Caenorhabditis elegans: one gene and its partner. The protein of the gene in region 2 purifies or fractionates together with the protein of the main gene of each other region. This does not show direct contact. Each region holds a gene or a part of one and is shown on either strand. Other genes may lie near its edges.

What was found.
Region 1: the proteins of fbxa-215 (region 2) and F12A10.8 fractionate together in Caenorhabditis elegans (co-fractionation; one large-scale study listed by BioGRID). This does not show direct contact.

Annotation. Positions count from the first base shown.
Region 1 is NC_003280.10:5,499,309-5,503,064, reverse strand, and holds the start of F12A10.8 (uncharacterized protein), read left to right. Parts: upstream 1-2,000; 5' UTR 2,001-2,033; coding exon 2,034-2,121; intron 2,122-2,167; coding exon 2,168-2,208; intron 2,209-2,411; coding exon 2,412-2,495; intron 2,496-2,544; coding exon 2,545-3,036; intron 3,037-3,091; coding exon 3,092-3,231; intron 3,232-3,276; coding exon 3,277-3,448; intron 3,449-3,498; coding exon 3,499-3,728; intron 3,729-3,756. Other genes in the region: WD repeat-containing protein fzy-1, read right to left, coding at 1-237, 289-370, 415-522, 571-674, 724-832, 896-1,090, 1,141-1,296, 1,348-1,413.
Region 2 is NC_003282.8:13,665,291-13,669,046, reverse strand, and holds fbxa-215 (F-box domain-containing protein), read left to right. Parts: upstream 1-2,137; 5' UTR 2,138-2,150; coding exon 2,151-2,224; intron 2,225-2,267; coding exon 2,268-2,477; intron 2,478-2,535; coding exon 2,536-2,619; intron 2,620-2,663; coding exon 2,664-3,300; intron 3,301-3,356; coding exon 3,357-3,557; 3' UTR 3,558-3,683; downstream 3,684-3,756.

The sequences.
Region 1 (3,756 bases), on a different chromosome or scaffold from region 2:
TAACTGTACTTCCTCTGACGTGACGGCCATCCCAAATCTTTGCAGTTCTATCAGATGATCCACTGACGCACATATTCTCATCTGCAGACCATTCGAGAGCTGTGACGTCACGACAATGACCATTGTCGCCTCCCCACGAACTAACAACATGTTGAGAGATTCTGACGTCGTGATTAACAATGTCTCCTGATTTATAACCACATGTCATCACTCCTTGCTTTCTCCATGCAATTGAAGCTGAAAAAATAATGAAGTTGAAGCATCACTCCGTCTTTCATTTTAACTGACCACATCGTGAAGCTCCACCGACTCGAAGGGTTCTCAACTCACGCACATACTCAGTGGTTTTCGGACGATTTGGATCATAGATCTGAAAAAGGAAAACTTGATCAAATATATTGACAGCAATTGTACCTTGACAGCTCCTGATGCGTATCCTAGGGAAATATATCGACCTTCCTGACTCCATCGTACTGAGGTGATCAGACCTTCGTTAGTCGGAGCATTGTCTTCAAAGAGATTCTGGAAAAAAACAAAACAATATTTTGAAAGTGGCCATCAAAATCTTGCCTTGATGACACATGTCTCAGTGTTCCAGAGGTATAATTCGTGTCCTAAAGCGACTGCAACCCAATTGTGACATCCCCAATCAAGATGACGTGAATATAAGTCTTCTGAAATTAATGGAAAACTTGAGAAAAAAGAACACATATATTAACTCACTAGTGAGTCCAGGTCCATCCAGGACTTTCGTCGCAGTCTCTTTGACATGTCTCGTCGACTTTTTCACTGACGATGCTGGATTGATCACACTATTTGTACTATACAATACCTAAAATTAGAGTTTTACTAATTTCCAACGATTTTTAAATTAAATTAAAGTAATAATCGCTACTTTTGCCTGATTAATATATCCAATTGCTGGTGGTGGAGCGAGATTTTTCTTATAGCAAAGAATGCGATCTCCATCATCAGCATCGGTAAGAGCTCCAGTGGATTTGTGGCGCATCATTTGTTTCAGAGCTTCTCCTTCCACACTTTTCTTCTCCGGACTGTTGGGCTCGGACATGGAATTATTCAAATTCTCTTTCTGTAAATTTCATCAATATAGAATTTTATTCATAAATTGTTTCCACATACGTTGCTGTAGAGCTTACTCGTCATGAGATGATTAGCATGATCGAGTTCATCCTGATCCAGTCGGACTCCAAGAAATCGATCACCTACGAAAGTTGCGTTGGGTAGCAAGTTTGTGTTGCGAGTGGGTGTCATGTCTCTTTTTCGCATTGTCAGACCCTGCAATTGGAAACTTTATGTCCAACAATATAATAATTGAACTTCCTGTACATTTTGTTGTGCGGACGATCTGACTGTTCTTCCGGCACTACCGGGCGTGCGTCCTTTGTTGTTCATTGTGGAGAATCGATAGCTACTGAAAAACAATTATATTTTTCAAACGAAAATTGAGCTGAAAACTAGATTAAAATTCTTTCGAGGAAATTCAAGCTTTGTAAGAGCCGTAGGAAAAATAAATAATCAACGTTTAGTCAAAATGGCATGCACGTTCGAAATTGCCGCCAGTTGTGGTCGAAAAAGAACACCGCTGGGGCGAATTTGCATTACTTGTATGATGAGATTAAGATCTGGAGAACCGAGAGCAACCGGAAATTATGCTTCCCTAAAACGGCAGTTTTTCGACATAAAAACACACAATTTAAGTGAATAATGTGTAATTTATATTAAAAAACGTTTGTTAGTGACATAATCTAGCGGTTATTAATTCTTATAAATTCTGAAAAAGCATGCGTAAAGCCAGAAAATCGTCAAATCTCGAAAAATGAAATCAATGCGAGTGAAAAAGAAAAATATCGCGGTTTCTCTCCCATACGGTTTTAAAGGCGCATACTTTCGCAGTTAATTTGGGGTCTCGCCACGATTACAGTAGTTTTTGAAAAATGTTCAGTTTGGAACATTTATTGTTTTTTATTATAATAAATAATCATTATTGTTGAACTTTTTTCTTTAAATTTATAATGCATCCACAGCGAGAAGTAATTAAATTTCGAAAAGGAAGATTTTACAAAAATCCAACAATCTCAAGCTTCAAGAGAATAGTTCCAAGTAAGCTCTTTTCCAAAAAGCCAACTTCTAACAACAAATTGTTCAGGTAATCGCCCTGTAGCTGTAGATGTCAATGGATTCCCCCAGGTAACATCTTCAAATTATTTATCAAACTTACAACATTAGTAGTTAGTATGTTAGTCGGAACATAAAGATCGAGCGAACAGGATGTGAGTTTTAAAAAGTAATGAATTTTTCCCATTCCATTTTTTTTAAATAAGAAAAGAACACGTGTTCAAAAAAATTTATCATTGGAATTGTGCAATAAAACAGTGATGTGTTGTTTGCAGAGACATCGGAGACACTATGTTCAAGCTGGAATGTTCGCCAATGCCAAAAGTTCCCTCCCATCTTCTGCAAATGTTTCATTTCAGGTTATTGTTAAAGTGAAAATTAAAGTTAACCAACCACAGCGTATTCCAGAATTCGGACGATAATCTGAGTACATCAAGAGGGCGTTCAGCATCCCCAACTCCGATAAGAAAATTTTCAAATTTTCCACGCAGCAATATTTCAAAAACTTGGGATTTTAGCGATATTGGAGTGAAGAAAGATCAACAAACTCGAAATCAACTACCTCCAATGAAGAGATTAAATTCTGAAGAAGAAGAAGAACAACAAGGGAAAACTAAGACAACGAAAAAAGAAACCATTGGAGCTTCGACTGTGGGTCGTTCAGTGAAGCATGTTCTTCCGTGGCTGAAAAAGTGGGGATCCCAAGATGCAGAAAGCAATATGAAGCCTATGAGAATAGAAAGATTAAAAGTTTCTCCCACGCTGGACCAAAGTATAAATCGATTTTCTTCACGTCTACGCCGAATCGATTCAATTCGTCCGATCCCACTTCAAAATCACACCGGGACCACGATAGGAACAGTTGAAAAGGCTCTTGTCGCAGTTGCTCTAGCAAAGACGGTTGGATTCAGTGCTCACTGAGACATTAACGGAAATAGTGTGTATTTTTTTTCAGAAATCTGAAGAGTATCAGAAGAATCCAGTTTTCGATTATTTAATCGAGAGGTCTGATTGGTTGTTGTATCGTGAAGAATTCAATGATAAAATAGACTATCTACCACAAGATCCTTTCTATTCACATGATATTGTGTCGAGGTAACTTCTATTCAGAAAGAGCTCAATAATAGTACATATATTCAGTGATTTCGAAGAGTACGAGCAGGAAATAGAAGAAGCACGCGACCCGTACTATTTGGAAATTGGCTCGGAGGAAAAACAAGCTCCCATCAAAGCAAGTGCATCAAAGCCTAGATTTGATGAAGCCAACTTCCACAATGAGGATCCTCTGAATCTGGACAGCCAGGAAGACTTTGTAAGTTGAATTAAATTTTTGAAATGGAATTTCAAGTTTTATTAATTCAGTTTGAAACATCATATTTGCCCAAAAACGCGGATGAATCTAAAAAACATCAGAAAAGTATGCTTCCTTCGTTCGGAGACTATACGACAAAATCAGATGATGAACGACAAAAGAACAGACTAGTTTCATTCGACACCGATTCAAGTGTGCCAAGAACGTCGAGAAAAAGAAATCACCAAGAAGCCTTATCGCCGTCTAAATCAAATCCCGACTATTCTCCATTTAATTACGAGTAATTCCGAAATTTCCTATCAAATAGT
Region 2 (3,756 bases):
TTTTCTTTGCAAAAAAATTGTTTTAAACTTTATTATATACACCAGCCGATGACCGCGCCTCCGGCGCGGCCAACGACTGGCGGAGTTTAAAATGTAAAACACATAGATGCCTTTTTAATCATTCACAAATGCCTCATCAAAATAAAGTTGGCACTTTATCGATGAAATCGCATTTTCACTTTCCATGGTATACGATTCAGAAAACTCACAGAGACAATTAGAATTTTCTGGGTTTTCTTCCAACACATTGTCATTATCAGGCTTTCGAAAAAATTCTACAGAGCTATACTTTTTTTTTATTTACTTAAAAACTTTCTTTAACTGGAGAAGTCTGAAGAATTAATTACTAAGTTCTTTGAACATTGCTGTAGCAAAACAAAGAAAAAGTCCTACAGGGGTTCTAGAACATTCCAGAATTTTCCCCAATTTTTCAGTTCTTGAAACTTCCAGAAGGTACTAAAACAAAAATAGTTTCACAGAAAACTTGAATTTCCCTCAAAACAATGTTCTCATAAATTTTGAATTTCCCGCCCAAATTTTTAAGGGTCTCACCACAATGGGTCTCAGGTCTCACCACAATGGGTCTCAGCAAGGTCTCACCACAACAATTCCAGAATTTTCACGAATTTTTCAGAAGGTTCTAGAAAATTCAAGAATTTTTTTTCGAATTTTCCAGAAGGTTCTAGAACATTCCAGAATTTTCTCGAATATTCCAGAAGGTTCTAGAACATTCCAGAATTTTCTCGAATATTCCAGAAGGTTCTAGAACATTCCAGAATTTTCTCGAATATTCCAGAAGGTTCTAGAACATTCCAGAATTTTCTCGAATTTTTTAGAAGCTTCTAGAACATTCCAGAATTTTCTCGAATTTTTCAGGGGCTTCTAGAACATTCCAGAATTTTTTCGAATTTTCCAGAAGGTTCTAGAACATTCCAGAATTTTCTCGAACTTTCCAGAAGGTTCTAGAACATTCCAGAATTTTCTCGAATTTTTCAAAAGGTTCTAGAGCTTTCCAGAATTTTCCAGAAGGTTCTGGAACATTCCAAAATTTTCCCGAAGTTTCCAATTTCCCTTCCAAAGACGGATAGTCAATTTTTCCCAAACTACAATAATCCTACAGTACTCCTACAGTACCTCTCCAGTACTACTACAGCACCCCGACCATATCCCACTACTAACCCCAAACCTATATCTCTTCAAAAGACAAAAGCTCAATTTTTCCTAAACTACAGTAATCCTACAGTACTCCTACAGTACCTCTACAGTACTACTACAGTACCCCGGCCATATCCCACTACTAACCCCAAACTAATATCCCTCCAACAGCCGAAAACGCCTTGCCTTTGTAAGCTATGACGTCACAGACTACAAACTACGGCACAAACGGAATTATTTTTTTTATATATAGGTTTTATATATAGGATTTTTAATACGAGCATTTGGCTTCCCAAGCTTTCATAATCGCGACGAGGCCTAATTGTTGATTTATCGGGGTATGTTTTCTCATCAAATTCTTTGTACCGCGCATGTATGAAACATTTGAACAGGTGTGTCCTTGTGATCTTCATGGGATGTAATTTCGGTAGTGGTTTGATCCAAAAGCTCAATTCAAAATGGAAACCATGGAAATGAATATTTTAACGCTAACAATTTAACTCTGAGATGCACTTTTTCAGAACAACAGCACACTTTAAAAGTTATGCGATCGATTGAAAAATTGATTAAAATTGATTAATCAATTTAATTGGTGATTTTAAAACTTCGAGTACTGTAGCCAAAAGTGGTTGCGTACTTGACACATTTGACGCGCAAATGCACAGAGACTCCATTTTGGGATTTTCAGATCGTTTTTTTTAAAGTTTACTCGTTTCTCTTCGTTTTTTGTTCGTCAATTTATTTTTTTGTATAAGAAAAATATAAAAATACTAGTTTTAAGTAATTATATGGAAAAATCCCAAAAAATGGATTTTTCAGACTTGAAATTTGTTCAAAAAATTGACCTACCAAACAAACAAACATAAAAAACATTTAGCGCTAAATATTCAATTTTCGTTGAGAATTCTTTGTTTTCCATGTTCACATTCACTTCTTCCAAATTTTCCTCGCGTTTTCCATTAATAAAATTATATTTTTACAGATAAAATCTTAAAATGAGCGAAGCTCCTCACTCTTCCAGCATGGCGGATAGCAATTCCACAGTAGAACAATATCGTTCGTTGAAACGGTGAGTAATTGAAAATTAGATTCTAAAAATCATGATTTTCCAGGAAAATGATCGAGAAAAAGGATCTGATGAGAAACAATCGAACAGCACTTCGCGCATGTATCCTGTTCAATTGTCTCCTCGGAACTTCAATACGAGACGCTTATAATCAATTTTGCCGAGCCGTTGGATCCGATGTTATGGAATATCGAGAATACGAGTTCTGGTTCTATCAATTTAAAAGAGGAGATGCTGATTTCAGCGATGCAATTAGGTATTTTCAGAGACTTCAAAGAAATCAATAATTTCATTTTTAAAAAATTGATTTTCAGTTGGAATCCAAACACAATAAAGCTTGATGAATTGCCAATCGAAGTGATTAATACGATTTCCAGCTTCTCTATGCCAATGGAGAGGTTTGTTAGCCAGTTTTATTCAAATTTAAAATGAAAATTTTCAGACTAACGCTTCGAAAAGTGTCTAAAAACCTGCGCACACTCATCGATTCTGAGCCGTTTTGTTTCCAAAGGATTATAGTACGAATTGGACATCGAACATCGTATCTTCAATTGGACGGTTATCCGGGAATTGAATATATTCATTGTGGTGCCGATTGCAATGTTTTATATGGAAAACGTGATAAATATGTTAAAAACAAGAATCACGTTGAATATGCTCTGACGGAAGCCATTCAATTGATGAGAAATTCAAATAATCACAGCAAAGAGTTCCACGTGAGAGCAGAACGATCAAACGATCAGGAATTGTCAATGGTTCTCAGGAAATTTTTCGATTCTGTGGAAATTGAGCTTTATGCGAAGAAAATTGTCGTCAGTGGATTCAGTTTTGCCGATACATCTTCGGTTCTTTGCCATTTCAAAGCGGGATTTCTCGAGGAAATTCAGGTGTTACCGGGTTCCGGTGGCCCGTGGACCAACGTACTCGTCGAAATGGAACAATACAAGAAGGCAAAAGTATTGAAGATTTGCACGGAATTTCCAGTTTTACTGGATATCGAGGATTTGCTGCATTTCCGACGGTTCGAAATTGCGATAAAATCAGATTTCACTGAAAGAATGGCCAGAAAAATTCGCGATGTAAGTTTCCATTTTAATTTTCGTAAGTTTTAAATTTAATTTAATTTATTTTCCAGGTTCTCACCAATTCTGAACATTTCGAATATGCCCACATAATAACTCAAGATCTTCACCATCGGACAGTCATTAAATTCTTCAATCGAAATGCTGAAAATGTATTCTGGAATTATGGATCCATGAATTATAATAACAAGAAGCGCCTCTTCCACATTGAGTACAATCACCGACAATTTGTAATCAAAAAATTAAACATGTAGATAATCAAACAAAAATTGCCTTCTTCTCGAAAATGTATGTACTGATATTTGATTTGCACACTTACCCCTTGTTTTACTCTTTTTACTCTGAGATTTTTCTTGCAATAAACCTTTGTTCAGGTTAAAAATAAAGCACATTATCACGAAAAAAAAACTGTCAAAGAATAACTGAATTCACAAAAAAGTTTCGGTTCTTGCA